4 linked regions of the Kluyveromyces lactis genome follow. The protein of the gene in region 1 interacts with the protein of each later gene in a biochemical or structural test. Links are inferred from orthologs where the notes say so. Each region holds a gene or a part of one and is shown in the gene's direction. Other genes may lie near its edges.

Evidence for each region.
Region 2: the proteins of STE5 (region 1) and STE7 form a complex in vitro, tested with the Saccharomyces cerevisiae proteins (3 studies listed by BioGRID, with this or other methods). The link is inferred for Kluyveromyces lactis from reciprocal best matches to the Saccharomyces cerevisiae genes STE5 and STE7.
Region 3: the proteins of STE5 (region 1) and FUS3 form a complex in vitro, tested with the Saccharomyces cerevisiae proteins (6 studies listed by BioGRID, with this or other methods). The link is inferred for Kluyveromyces lactis from reciprocal best matches to the Saccharomyces cerevisiae genes STE5 and FUS3.
Region 4: the proteins of STE5 (region 1) and KSS1 form a complex in vitro, tested with the Saccharomyces cerevisiae proteins (2 studies listed by BioGRID). The link is inferred for Kluyveromyces lactis from reciprocal best matches to the Saccharomyces cerevisiae genes STE5 and KSS1.

What each region holds. Positions count from the first base shown.
Region 1 is NC_006042.1:1,102,593-1,106,648, forward strand, and holds STE5 (Ste5p), read left to right. Parts: upstream 1-1,315; coding exon 1,316-3,556; downstream 3,557-4,056. Other genes in the region: PDA1 (pyruvate dehydrogenase (acetyl-transferring) subunit E1 alpha), read left to right, coding at 1-75; SPO71 (Spo71p), read right to left, coding at 3,551-4,056. UniProt on the Saccharomyces cerevisiae protein: Component of the pheromone signal transduction pathway. It mediates pheromone signals acting between STE20 and STE11. It is absolutely required for pheromone-induced transcription of FUS1. May play a role in cell-cycle arrest in response to pheromone.
Region 2 is NC_006039.1:1,450,681-1,454,095, reverse strand, and holds STE7 (mitogen-activated protein kinase kinase STE7), read left to right. Parts: upstream 1-1,400; coding exon 1,401-2,915; downstream 2,916-3,415. Other genes in the region: DExD/H-box ATP-dependent RNA helicase DHH1, read right to left, coding at 1-441; DMO2 (Dmo2p), read right to left, coding at 3,100-3,415. UniProt on the Saccharomyces cerevisiae protein: Serine/threonine protein kinase required for cell-type-specific transcription and signal transduction in yeast. It is thought that it is phosphorylated by the ste11 protein kinase and that it can phosphorylate the FUS3 and or KSS1 kinases.
Region 3 is NC_006041.1:928,511-931,604, forward strand, and holds FUS3 (mitogen-activated serine/threonine-protein kinase FUS3), read left to right. Parts: upstream 1-1,478; coding exon 1,479-2,594; downstream 2,595-3,094. Other genes in the region: PEP1 (type I sorting receptor), read right to left, coding at 1-891. UniProt on the Saccharomyces cerevisiae protein: Together with closely related KSS1, FUS3 is the final kinase in the signal transduction cascade regulating activation/repression of the mating and filamentation pathways, induced by pheromone and nitrogen/carbon limitation, respectively.
Region 4 is NC_006037.1:217,443-220,180, forward strand, and holds KSS1 (mitogen-activated serine/threonine-protein kinase KSS1), read left to right. Parts: upstream 1-1,149; coding exon 1,150-2,238; downstream 2,239-2,738. Other genes in the region: KLLA0_A02475g (FAD-dependent oxidoreductase), read right to left, coding at 1-245; LUG1 (Lug1p), read left to right, coding at 2,704-2,738. UniProt on the Saccharomyces cerevisiae protein: Together with closely related FUS3, KSS1 is the final kinase in the signal transduction cascade regulating activation/repression of the mating and filamentation pathways, induced by pheromone and nitrogen/carbon limitation, respectively.

The sequences.
Region 1 (4,056 bases):
ACTCCAACCCTAAGAGGTAGATTGCAAGAAGATACTTGGGATTTTGCTAAGAAGAGCTTTGCTTTCAGAGATTAGAGCAAGAACGAATTAGGTAATTGAACGTTAAAGTTAACTTCTTTGCGTTTATCCTTTTTTTTATTCCCATCTCTCTACTCTTCCCTTTTCGAAAGACAACTATATTCCTATAAACTGCCCTTTCACAATATTATGCTATAAGGTTCACAAGATGATACTATTTGTATAGTGCATCTGCTATTTTCCACCAATCAATATTAAAGTACCAAAATCATAAAAAAACACCTTTTAGATACAAGTGTTTTTTATTCATTTCATTCACGGTATGGTTTCTATTCAGATAACTGTTTTTTTCGGTTTTAAAACATGAATGTTCATCTGTGACTTCTCATTCTCTCTCTCTCCATGAGACTTCGTTGATGCTTATTCTCAATGCCGAGAACATTATCTGGTTACTGATGCCTGCCATTACGGATTACCTGCGTTTTAATTTCTTCCCAAACAAAACAACGATACAGAATTTTCTCATTACTCCCAAAAACTACCTCAATAATTCGTGCTACAATCTTCTTTTCTTACGTTGATCTTGCGCCTGTTATAAACATGATTTATTGTGAACTAGGTTTTGTAAACTAATCTGACATTGTTCTTCACCATAAATTGTCTCTCCCCTTTTTGGTTGCTACGATACAATGTCGTCAAATGCGAAGCCGCATATTAGACAGATGAAAAGTTACAATACCTTGTCCATCATTGAATCATCTACTCACCTTTCTAATGACTGATCTCACGACGACTTACCCCAATAATCATCTCATCTCTATTTACTAGACTTACATCTAGTCTATATATAAATTGTATTTACTGAATTAAAGTATCATAGATATACTAGAGACAGTTTTGTCACCCTGGTTCCAGAGTCACTGCAGGACCCTACTCATCGACTTCCTAAAATGTACACTTTGTCCTGATTTCATCACTATCTCTGTTTTCATTTAAGGGAAGAAAATTATTCATTACTTAAGACCGTTGATGTTTAAATCTGAAACAACCTCAAAATGGCATCATGATGAAAGGGGAAAATATAGTGATTGCAGATTCCGGGAGATTTGAGATTCTTTTAGTGAATTCTCCAAAGTAGCTACCATGATATCGTTACTTATGTGCTAATCTATCAATTGAATAACTGAACAATTATTGTTCAAAGTATTAAGAATACATCCAAAAGTCTTCAAACTTTAAGGAATTTAAGAGTAACACTACGGCTGACTAGAGCATATTAACTATTACTTTGCTAGAAATGTCTAGAGGTAATACATCATCAATGAATTCTCAGGATATCTTATTTCAATTGACTAATGTGGGATCCTCCCCGGTGCCTAAACTGGATACAGGATCCACTTCAGGGTCCAATACCTCATCGCCAAGAAGATGGACAGAGCTTTTTTCTAAGAAGAGAGTGAAGACGCCTTCAGTTGGTACTCCATCGACTGCATCATCCATGATATCTTCCTTCTATGATAGTTCTCCCATAAGACCAGTGTCAAAACAGCATCCTAAGCACCTCCTGGTAGATCCGATCATGCCGCCTCCACCCATAATGCTCTCTCCCATTGGACATGAGACCTTAGGAAAGAAGCCCACTCGAAAAAATGGTAATAAGTCTTGGAAAAATGAGAGATGTTGCATATGCGGAGATCTTTGTTCGTTCAAGGGTTCTAATGAGAAGGTAATCCCTTTGGAGTGTAACCATATGTGTCATGAAGATTGTTTAATGGTGAGTTTACGACCTCTTCCTCATAAATCAAACCTGTATGATGCCTTGCCGAAATGCGACATCTGTAGTATGTCATGCATACCGGGACAGGAAGATATGCGACAGAAGGTAAGGTCACACTTGTTAACCTTACCTGATGACGGTGAAAGTGTTGGACTCGAACCGTATAATCCTCAAGAAAACTACGAGCGGATAAAATTGTGCGATGCAGACCTCTTACCCAAGCACTCAGGTAATGATGAAACGTTTCCACATTTGCAGACTACTAGAACAACTGCAAGAAATAACGATATCAGGTTATCTTTTGCATTTTCTTTGAAACCAGGGAAAACGGTTACTCCATCTCTTCGAGATTCCATCCGTTTGCATAGGAGTCGCAGTATAAAAAGAAGATCCAACTTCAGAGGAAGTACGGTTTCTGGCTTGTCGTCCATCGTATCATCTTCCTCGAAAGATGACTGTCAACTGCCTTCTTTGCACGTTCAAAGGCAGTATTTCATTCAAGCGTTTTTGAATAGTTTTAGCGAAGTCAAGCCTTGGGAAATTGATGCTAAATATGGACTCTTACGATTGATAGATAATTTTTTGATATCATTAGATGGCATAAATTTCCAACACCAGGTTTGCTACCTATTTTCGGAATATTTACTAGTATGTCGACCATCTCCTGCTACTTCGGCAAATGTTCTTCAATTCTCGAGCTACCGTTGTTTCCAATTGAATAATCCTCCTGAACTAGATTTATTAGATGCAACTACTCTTGAATCAAAATCTCGTTCTGGGGAAAGAATTCTTATTAAACCTTATGGGTTGGATACAAAAGCTTTAGAAAAATGGATAACAGCTCTATTTGATCTTACTTTGCCGTTCGGAAATTATGATTTCACTTCGATCAAGGTTCCCGAATTTGTGGCTTGCATTCCTAGCACCAATGATACAGGTACAATCATTGTCAGACGACAGAGTACCTTAAATGAAACCCTTATCCCTAAAACAATTCGAGATTCATCCGTGTTAACCTCAATATCATCCATTTTGTCCATCAAAAGAGCAACACCAAATGAATTAAATTTGGTGTTGCAATTAGATAAAAGAAAGACTAATGAAGATAATATCGTCTCGATCAAGAACGTCATTTTAGCTTTGACTTGGAAGTTTTCTACTTTTAACTGCTGTATTGTTGATGTTGAAGGAATGGTCATCAATTGCGGAACTGCTAACGATGTTCTCAATTCGTTGGCTGGTCCGATAAAAAGTAATGGTAATCAACCATTCTCTCCAGATCTTTTACACCAATTATGGTATCGGCAAAAACAGAAAATATGCAAAAATGTTGGGGTTGTTGTTTTATCAAACTCATCCATGGAGAATGGTAAATCATGTCTTTTTAGCGATTATCGAATATTCGCTGATGCAGGCAAACGGCATCCAAATGAATTAAAAATAAAAGTAGGCTTTCTGAATGTAGATTATAGTGATAATATCAAAGAACTCGTTGAAATTCAGGACTGGAACGAATTGCTTGAAGCTGTTGCCTATAGTTTTAATTTGAGCTTTGATGATGATTTAGATAGTAGTGACTGTGTCAGTACCTCCTCTAGTGATTTTGAAGTGGATTCAGTTCCAGATAAGAATAGAACATTCCGGCTTTCATCACCTATATCCTGGGAAAATCACGTACAGGCTGACTTGACAGGATCTATGAATGGTATTAGTGAATCTATTGAAGACCGGCAATCAAATCATATGTACGACTATTTATAACATTTTCACTCTCTCTAATTCATCATATATTTTTACCATCCACAAATCTCTCTCTTGCCTGGATCGACACATAAAAATCATCGATTTTCCCGAGACTCCAAGTTTATCAACAACGTGAAATTTTGAAGAGTCCGGAGTTTCTGGTGTTATTACTGAACTTAACATTATCCTTTTGTTTGGAAACCACATAACAAAAGTCCTACTACTCTCTTCATCCATGCTTTTCCATCCGTCAGCATACACTCTTGAGAGACTATGAGAACCTGGATTAATAGAGTTAAAGTCTTTGTCTCGGTCCAAGAGTTCCTGTTCACTGAGGGCACCTGAATATAGATAGCATTTCTCTATCGGAATCGTTAAAAAATGTCTATACTTTGTCGAATCTTTCGCGTAGCCCCTTATGGATCTATCGAAACAGTGGTACAACATTATAAACCCAGGAATCAACACCATGAAATGCTTGTTGAATACTGAATGTTTTCTGGATTTATGATAAATTA
Region 2 (3,415 bases), on another chromosome or scaffold:
GTCATCTCTCAAATTCGTACCACCAGTGGTAACCATACAAGAGATACCACAGTGTTTCCCTAGCGTGCGCACCACTTGTGATGTTTGCAAAGCCAACTCTCTTGTAGGAACCATAATCAATGCTTGAATTTTGTTCAACTTGGGCTTCACTTTTTCCAAAGTTGGTATAACGAACGCTGCCGTCTTACCAGTACCGTTCTTGGCACGCGCTAATATATCCTTCCCGGCAATGGCAACGGGAATAGCTTCTTCTTGGATTGGGGAAGGCTTCTCAAACCCTGCTTCAAATATACCCATCAAAAGTTCTCTTTTCAAATAGAAATCTTCAAACGAACGACCCTTCGTGTTCAACACATCATCAGTCTGAGGCCTCGTATCCTTTTTAGGAATATTCAACTGGGTCTTCCAGTCGTTATTACTTTCGCTTGTATCGCTGCCCATATTATCAATTATCTTTAATATTCTTTGCAGATAAAGTTAAACCTTCTTAAATAAAGCTTCAATGAATTAGTCAATTAATAAAATTAGTCAATTAGTGTATATCCGGAAACTATGCTGTTGCTAATATCACAGAGTAGAATGTATAAATACTATACCTATGACCATAATACACATGTTATACTTTTATTTCCTCTTGTGCCTCTGTAATAATTGTTCAAATTAATTCTAAACTTCATAATTTTTTCTTCTTTCCAGAGTGGAGGGAAGAGCAATGTTACCCTACTGAAGCAATTACAAGTGCGGGTAACGGATATCACCCTTTTCACAAAATCCGAATTGTCACGTGATAAGAAAAGTGAAGACATGTCCGGGTAACAAATATGCCAAGGGCTAAGCTCAGCACCGTGAGGCTTCTCTATCACTTGTAGCGATAAGGTACGATGCAGTGCGAATAATGGGAATGCCTAGACAAAAATATATATAGATGTATCAGCGCATATGAGCGTACGTTGAAATGAGAATGCTCGAGGCAACTAGGCATTCCCATTACGTTCAATAGCAGAAGTGACTTCCTTTCATTTTCTTGTTCTATTCGTGGTTCCGTTGAGGACCACACTAATTTATCATGCACCGTATAAATAAAAAGTAGCGTAATAATTAAGTAATGATAAAGAAAGCCTATACAAGGCTAAGCAGTAACTCAGAAGAAGAAAGAGACGATTACTGAGGCAGCAAGGAGTGTTGCAAAGAGCCAACGTGTGTTGTTTTTTGGAACCTGGTGGGGTCTTTCTATTAGGGTTTCTAGTTGCATTTTAATTTTTGTCTCATTTTACAATCATCTGAGCCTGTAAGTTTGGCTTTGGTATTAATATCTATTATTGATCGTAAAACTTTAATATCTCCAAAGAGAAGAGGCGCAGAAAGTGGTGAACATTGAGGTCAGATTGACTTAAAAGCATATGATTACACGTACCCAAAACGGCTCGATGTTATTGAATCGAATAAACCATGAACCGTCGAATGATAGTGCAGAGGGATCGTGCAATAGTTTGTTCAAACCGAAGACTTTGAAACGGAAGAATTTGAAGCATTTGACTCTAGAATCATCATGTTCATCATCATCTTCCTCTCCTGACGAAATACCGAAAGGTTTTAGTAATGGAAATGGTCCAACACTCAGTTTGATGTTGGAGAAGCTTCCGGTCCGTGAGGAAATAAGTCCAATTAGCAGAGACACTTCATTCCAGACGGTTTCATTCCTTCAAGGGAGTTCTAGTACATCAGATATATCTTCCATTGTCAGCGGGACTACACCAACCACAAGAGATGCTCCAATGTCACTTACTCCTACAGGAGTCAGTATGATGCAACAGGAGACAGATGAAACGGCCACATTGACTACTCAGATTGCTCGACTTTCTTTAACCCCAGAGAACGGAATTCAACTCGAAAACCTTGTACGATTGAGCAAGATTGGAGCGGGAAATTCGGGTACTGTGGTGAAGACTTTGCATGTACCTGATTCTAGAATCATAGCTAAGAAAACTATACCAGTAGAGAATAAGGAAGTGCTGAAAAATCAACTTGTTAGAGAACTAACCATCATGAAAAATGTTTCAGCCCATGATAACATTGTTGGTTTCTACGGTGCATTTTACAATCCATCCACCACTAACGAAATAGTGATTCTTATGGAATATATGGATTGTGGCTCGTTAGATAAGATTTTGTCAGTTTACAGATCTGATTGCCATAGGAAAAACGTTTCTATATCGTGCAAGACATCGTGGTTCAACGAAATGCCTCTCTCAAGGATCTCCTTTTGTGTTTTAAATGGACTTATCTATCTTTATGACTGCTATAAAATCATTCACAGGGACATCAAACCGTCCAATATATTGATAAACTCGAAGGGAGACGTAAAGATCTGCGATTTTGGTGTCTCTACTACTCTAATTAACTCTCTTGCGGATACCTTTGTCGGAACCTCCACTTACATGTCACCTGAACGTATCCAAGGTGGCAGATATACTACTAAAGGTGATGTGTGGTCATTAGGTCTTATGATCATCGAGCTCAGTAGTGGTGAGTTCCCACTAGGTGGACATCACGACACACCAGAAGGGATTCTTGATCTTTTACAGAGAATTGTCAATGAACCTGCTCCAAAACTGTCAAAAAATGAACATTACTCCATAGAAATGACAGATTTCGTGAACAGGTGTTGCATTAAGGAGGAGAGAGGACGATCATCTTTGAAAGAATTGATATGTCATGATTTCATCTGTAAGTATAACAACAGAGACACTATTGCAAAAGAATTCAGGCATTGGTGCAAAAAAGTGAAGAAGCGGATCAAAGAGGATAAGATGATAAGAAGAGAAGAGACAGAGAGAAGTAAGATCGAAAAAAGACAATTAGAGAAAGCAGCGTTGGCTGTTACAGCCGCAAGGTCTTCGAGTACAAGGCGATGAAATAAATTAAGAAATTGCACTATATTAGGATAAATTGATGTCCTAGTTTGCATCTCATCTCAATAACGATCATTATTACAGGAACGGACTATGGATCAGTAGCATAAAGAATTTATATACAACTTATTTAGGACTTTCATATAGAATCGGAAATATTCACTAATGTCACTAAATCGAAAAACTATTACCAAACCTTATACTTTTTCTCTTTATTCCATAACCATCCTTCCGTTCCTCTATATATTCCGAAGGCAATCAAGGCTCCACCGAATAATCTTGCTGAAGATACCCACCATTTTGGATTCAGTTTTGCGAACTGTTCAACGGTTACACCTTTCTTCTTTTCAGCTTCACCGTATTGGAACGGTTTACCGCTGGCTAGATACCCACCAAATCCCAATGAGAATGCGGTTGCCATTATTTGACATGGAATACAATCTCTTGTCTCTTCATCTGTTAGATCCCTTTGTGCTGGTGGATTAAATAAACTTGTGATATTA
Region 3 (3,094 bases), on another chromosome or scaffold:
TCTCCAGAGATTTGCGGCAGAATTTTCATTGAACCGATCTGATAATGTCAAGATAAATAGATGATTATCGGAAATGAACGTTGATGCTGGAGACAAATCCTGTAATTGTTCGGCAAACGGACTCAAACTCTTAAAATTAACATCGGTGATATACAACTTACTGGAAACATCTCCGAAAGGGGATAGTACGGTACTCTCCTGACAGATTACCTTGTCTTTTAATTTGTACAGTTTTGATTTTGATGATTTCTGTACGAATGAACAAAACATGTTTAAAGGGTTTGAATCATCATTACTTTTAGAACCAGAGCTGGCCAATTTGAAATTGTTACCATCTTTGGAATAAAACGAAATCTGCCTTAAGGTAAATTTACCATCCAGTTTACCTAGTTCATAGATATTGATAATTCTTGCATTCTTATTTGTGGGATGTGACTCGATTTCAACGTTGATAATCGGTTTACGATTTTCATCGCCGACGTTCGAATAATCAGAGAAGTCTATCTTATGATTATCTGCGTCTAGGAAAGTTAACTGTTTCCAAGATTTCCCTTTATCACCGGTAGCTAAAACGCCGTTTTCACCACTCAAATATGCAACATCTGCTTTATAAATCCGATCTAGTACCAAGTGATTCCATTCCTGAGGTTTGTTATCAGACGAAAGGGGCAATCCCACCGAATCCCAAGTAACACCATTATCCTCACTTCTATAAAGCTCAACACCACGAAGAAGTTTAAGAACTACTCTCGAATCATCAAATCCGAGGATAGACAAGCGGCCATGCGTGTCTACATCCGAATGGAACGATACCTTGGGTTTAAAATCCTGAGCCAAAACGGGCAGAAAGTTCCAAAGCCCCAGCCAAATAAGGATATTCCACCAAAACATGAGACAAAGACGTTAAAAGTACTGCAAGCAATGTAAAAGGGTTTCGTTTATATCGGTAATTGAGTATATACATGAAACACAAGCTAACTACCGCTAAGACCAAAATTACAACGAACTGTTGAACAATGGTTCAAAAGACAATCTGTACGATATATTCTATTTTTTCCTCCTAGCAATTTTGATAATACCAATTCTGAGCATTTGAAAGTTGGTAAAAGGGAAGAAGGAAAAAAAAGGACGCGTCACGTGAATGTGAACATAATTAAGAACCTTAATTTTTCCCTAAACTGTTGCAGCTTGTTTCACATTATCTCTGAAGAAATTAGTCTCGTTTCAAGATGAAACGGCCGTACTTAAGGGAATATGGGGAATGTCGCGTTCATGAATTACAAACAATTAAAGTGAAAACTTCGATGGTTTGAGGTTTTGAGGCGATTTAGTGAGAAACAAGAAGACTTAAGATATTACATATATATATATCATACCTAAAAGTGGGTAAATATGGATAAATTCTCAGGCAAGAAGGGGTGGACAAATTTTTGCTCTGGTTTTATTCATCCAGAGAACCAGAGATAGATAGTGTGACAATGGGCAAGAGGATAGTATTTAACATAAGCTCTGAGTTTCAACTACAGTCGCTTCTCGGTGAGGGTGCTTACGGAGTGGTATGTTCAGCGAAGCACAAACCCAGTGGAGAAATAGTTGCTATCAAAAAGATCGAACCTTTTGAGAAACCCCTATTTTCTATTAGAACATTAAGAGAGATCAAGATATTGAAGCATTTCCAACACGAAAACATAATCAGCATATTTGACGTGCAAAAACCATCATCTTTCGAACAGTTTAACGAGGTGTACATAATTCAAGAGTTGATGCAGACGGACTTGCATAGAGTGATCGTGACGCAGGAACTAAGTGAGGATCATGTGCAGTATTTTGTATACCAAACTTTAAGGGCGCTTAAAGTGCTGCATGGAAGTAATGTGATCCATCGAGATTTAAAACCAAGTAATTTGTTGTTAAACAGCAACTGCGATTTGAAAATCTGTGATTTTGGTTTGGCAAGAATTGTATCTGAAAGAGCAACAGATGGCGATGCCCATGTTGACGCTGATGACACGGATGATAACTCCCCTTCATCGGCGGCTAATGACGGTGACCCGGCAATTTCGGGAATGACAGAGTATGTGGCAACCCGATGGTACCGAGCACCGGAAGTAATGTTAACAGCTGCACAGTACTCCAAGTCCATGGACGTATGGTCATGCGGATGCATTCTTGCCGAGCTCTTGGGGAAACAACCGTTGTTCCCCGGGAAAGATTACAGAGATCAGTTGATCCTGATATTTCAGACTTTAGGGACACCCACGGAACAAGAATTGGTGGAGCTAGTAGAAAATAGACGTGCACGTGAGTACATTCGCTCGTTACCTAAGCATCCCAAGATCAATTGGCGGCGTAGGTTCCCGAATGCATCTGCAGCCGCTCTTGATCTCCTTGACCGGATGCTGCAATTCGATCCGAGGCTACGGATCACTGCCACGGAAGCGCTATCACATCCATACTTGGTCTCGTACCATGACCCGGACGACGAGCCCGAAGGAACTCCGATTCCTTCGTCATTCTTTCAATTTGACCAATGGAAGTCGCGGCTAAATACAAAGGATTTGAAGCGGCTGTTATGGAACGAAATCGTGTCATGAGACACACCATCCAAAAACAAACGAATGACTAAGTAACCACTAGCGTATTATATCATTTTCTTGTGTAGAGGTCTCCAAAATGAACAAAGAACACCATCAGATAAACATAATGCGGTTTTGTGCTTTGGAAAGGAAAAAAAGAAATTGAGACGAAAAGATCCCATTTCGGAGCCGCCGTTCTGCGATTATCTTAAATGCGATTTTTTCTTGTTTGTTTTAGGGGCCCCCTCGTTGCAGGGAAGGTCAAACCAAGAAAAACAAATTACACGCACTAGGAAATCTGTGAACGAAAATGCAAAAAATCCATTGATCCGGACTTTAACACGCATGACTCTTTCCTTCACTATGGTATGCTCTTCAGTCATACATTGCCACATGCAGTAATTCTTACGACCCGATACGATTCCTTCCCCTCTCTATCCTTGCAAACTTAGTAAACTGAGTAAGCTGCACCATTAATGTTTCGGGATGTCCGAGCTATTGTGTGATTCGAGTAGCGC
Region 4 (2,738 bases), on another chromosome or scaffold:
AAATTCTCATACGTGAACCTATCATACCACATGACGTTTTTATCATCAGGTGAAATACAAGACCAAACACCACCTGCCCATGGACTAGTATAACCAGTGGGTGACTGGTCACCTGGTAAGTAATCTGCCACAATGCAGATATTTTCACCCGGAACGCCGTACAATTCGGTCAAACAGTACGTGACGTACAAACCAGAAATACCTGCACCAACAACAGTGATCAATGGCTGAGATTTGTTAGACATGTCATTTGATAATTTCAGGCTCAAATAAAGCTTACTGATGAAATTGTGACTTTCACCGCTATAGATATATTCAGTAGATGTTTTACTCTACTATAGAAACTGGGAATGCTCAAGTAAGTGATCTGCCAATTGGCTGTTTCCTACTTCAAACTGAAACTAGGTTGGAAAACTTTACTGAGGAAAGAGAATCTCAATCCCATGTCCCTTCACTTATGTATGTTACCGATGACAAACCATGCTATTCTGACAAACGCGCTGCCTCGACCCCACCTATCTTAGATATCACTTCCAGCTCATTTACAGTCAAGTCATGTTGCCTTCTCTCGAGGAACTACCATTTAAGGTAACTCGAAAAATCTGTAAATCCACGTTGCGGTCTTAGCTATTCCCTTATCAATTCTCTGTTAACTTTAACTATGACTTTCAGTTCACCTATCGGGAAATGAGTTCCGCAGATTTACCCGCATGGATCCAATTTATGCTCAGTCGCAGTGGTAACAACCGACAGAACATGTGTGAAACTGCACTTTCTTGAACGGTGAAGCGCATTGCGGTATGTCCGAGCAGTGATGTGTATTATAAGTCACATGACTGACACCGGGGTAACATTTTTTCAGGTTTCGAGATTGGATGGAATGTTCACCAACATGAAACAAAGATTCAAGGACGAAACATTCTTTATCTGGACGACATGGAACGTCGCGCATTGTGTCAACTCAATGGGATACTTAAGGCGCCGAGTCAACGCTCGGGAATGACGATAAAGGATTCCCATCCAGAGTTTTGCAATTGGACGCTATAGGTATATATAATATTTAATCCTTAGTGGGGGGAAACTAAATCTATAATAGTGGAATAGCAGAGATCATTATAACAAGCAAACCGGAGATCTAACAGCATAGAGATGCCACGAACAATCACGTATGATATCCCATCCCATTATCAACTAGTAGATCTGGTTGGTGAGGGAGCATATGGTACAGTTTGCTCTGCGATACATAAGCCAACAAACACGAAAGTTGCAATTAAAAAGATACAGCCGTTTAGCAGATCGATGTTTGTTACCAGGACGTTACGGGAGTTGAAACTGTTGAAATTCTTTCATTCGCATGAAAATATCATATCGGTCTTGGATATAGTACGTCCGACGTCATGGCATAAATTTGAAGCAGTTTATCTTGTACAAGAGTTGATGGAAACGGATTTGCAGAAGATTATCAACCAACAAAATTTATCAGAGGATCATATCCAATATTTCGTTTATCAAATACTAAGGGCTTTAAAATCGCTACATTCGGCACAAGTAATCCATAGGGATTTGAAACCAAGTAATTTGTTACTGAATAGCAATTGTGATCTCAAAGTGTGTGATTTTGGGTTGGCTCGTTGCCTGGCATCGAGTGATCAATCAAGAGAGAATATGGTGGGTTTCATGACAGAATATGTAGCTACCAGATGGTATAGGGCTCCAGAAATCATGTTGTCCTTCCAAGAATACACAACTGCAATGGATATCTGGTCATGTGGATGTATACTAGCAGAAATGATCATGGGTAAGCCGCTTTTCCCAGGTAAAGATTACCACCATCAACTCTGGATCATCTTAGAAGTTTTAGGGTCTCCAACTTTGGAAGACTTTGAACAAATCAAGAGTAAAAGGGCAAAAGAATACATATCTCAACTACCCATGAAGAAAGGTATACCCTGGGCTAATGTGTTAAATAAAGAAGTTAACCCTCTTGCTATCGATTTATTGTCCAAGATGCTAACTTTCAACCCAGACAAGAGGATCAGTGCAGTTGAAGCGTTGGAACATCCATATTTGGCAACATATCATGATCCAGATGACGAGCCAGATTATCCCCAACTAAACCTTGAAGACAATTTTTGGAAAATTGACAACGAGGCCCGCGATAAAAACGAGGAAGACGATATTCCACTGGAACTGTTGAAAAAGATGCTTTATGGTGAAGTTATGAAGCCTCTAAATTGATATGTTCGATATTCTATGAACTAAAAAAAAACTATCCGCATAGTCTTTGAATGAATGTACTGAGACTCAAGGATTTTACGTTTCATGGGTACTTCTCATTAGGACGCCTAGTCTGTCAAATTGAGGAAAAGTAATACAAGAATTCTCATACTCATATTAGACAATCATATAGTTAATTACATAACTAAGTAAAGCTACGAATAACCACATCACGTTTTTCATACTCTTTGATCCCTTATGAACCTTAAGTGTACTTTATGCCCTGAAATGAAAAATAAAGTAGCGATATAATTAGAATGAACAAGAACTTGAACAAAAGACCCGCATCAATAGAAGAAAAAATGAAAACCAAAGTGGATCTTAAAGAAATCATCAAGAGCACCAAAACAGGTGCAAATAGCTTTAAGGATTGGTGAAGTGTATAAAACGTGTTATTCGGGGCTCGCATATCATAATTCGTTCAATATGATCAGTGAAACATCGACGATGCGGTTACCTTC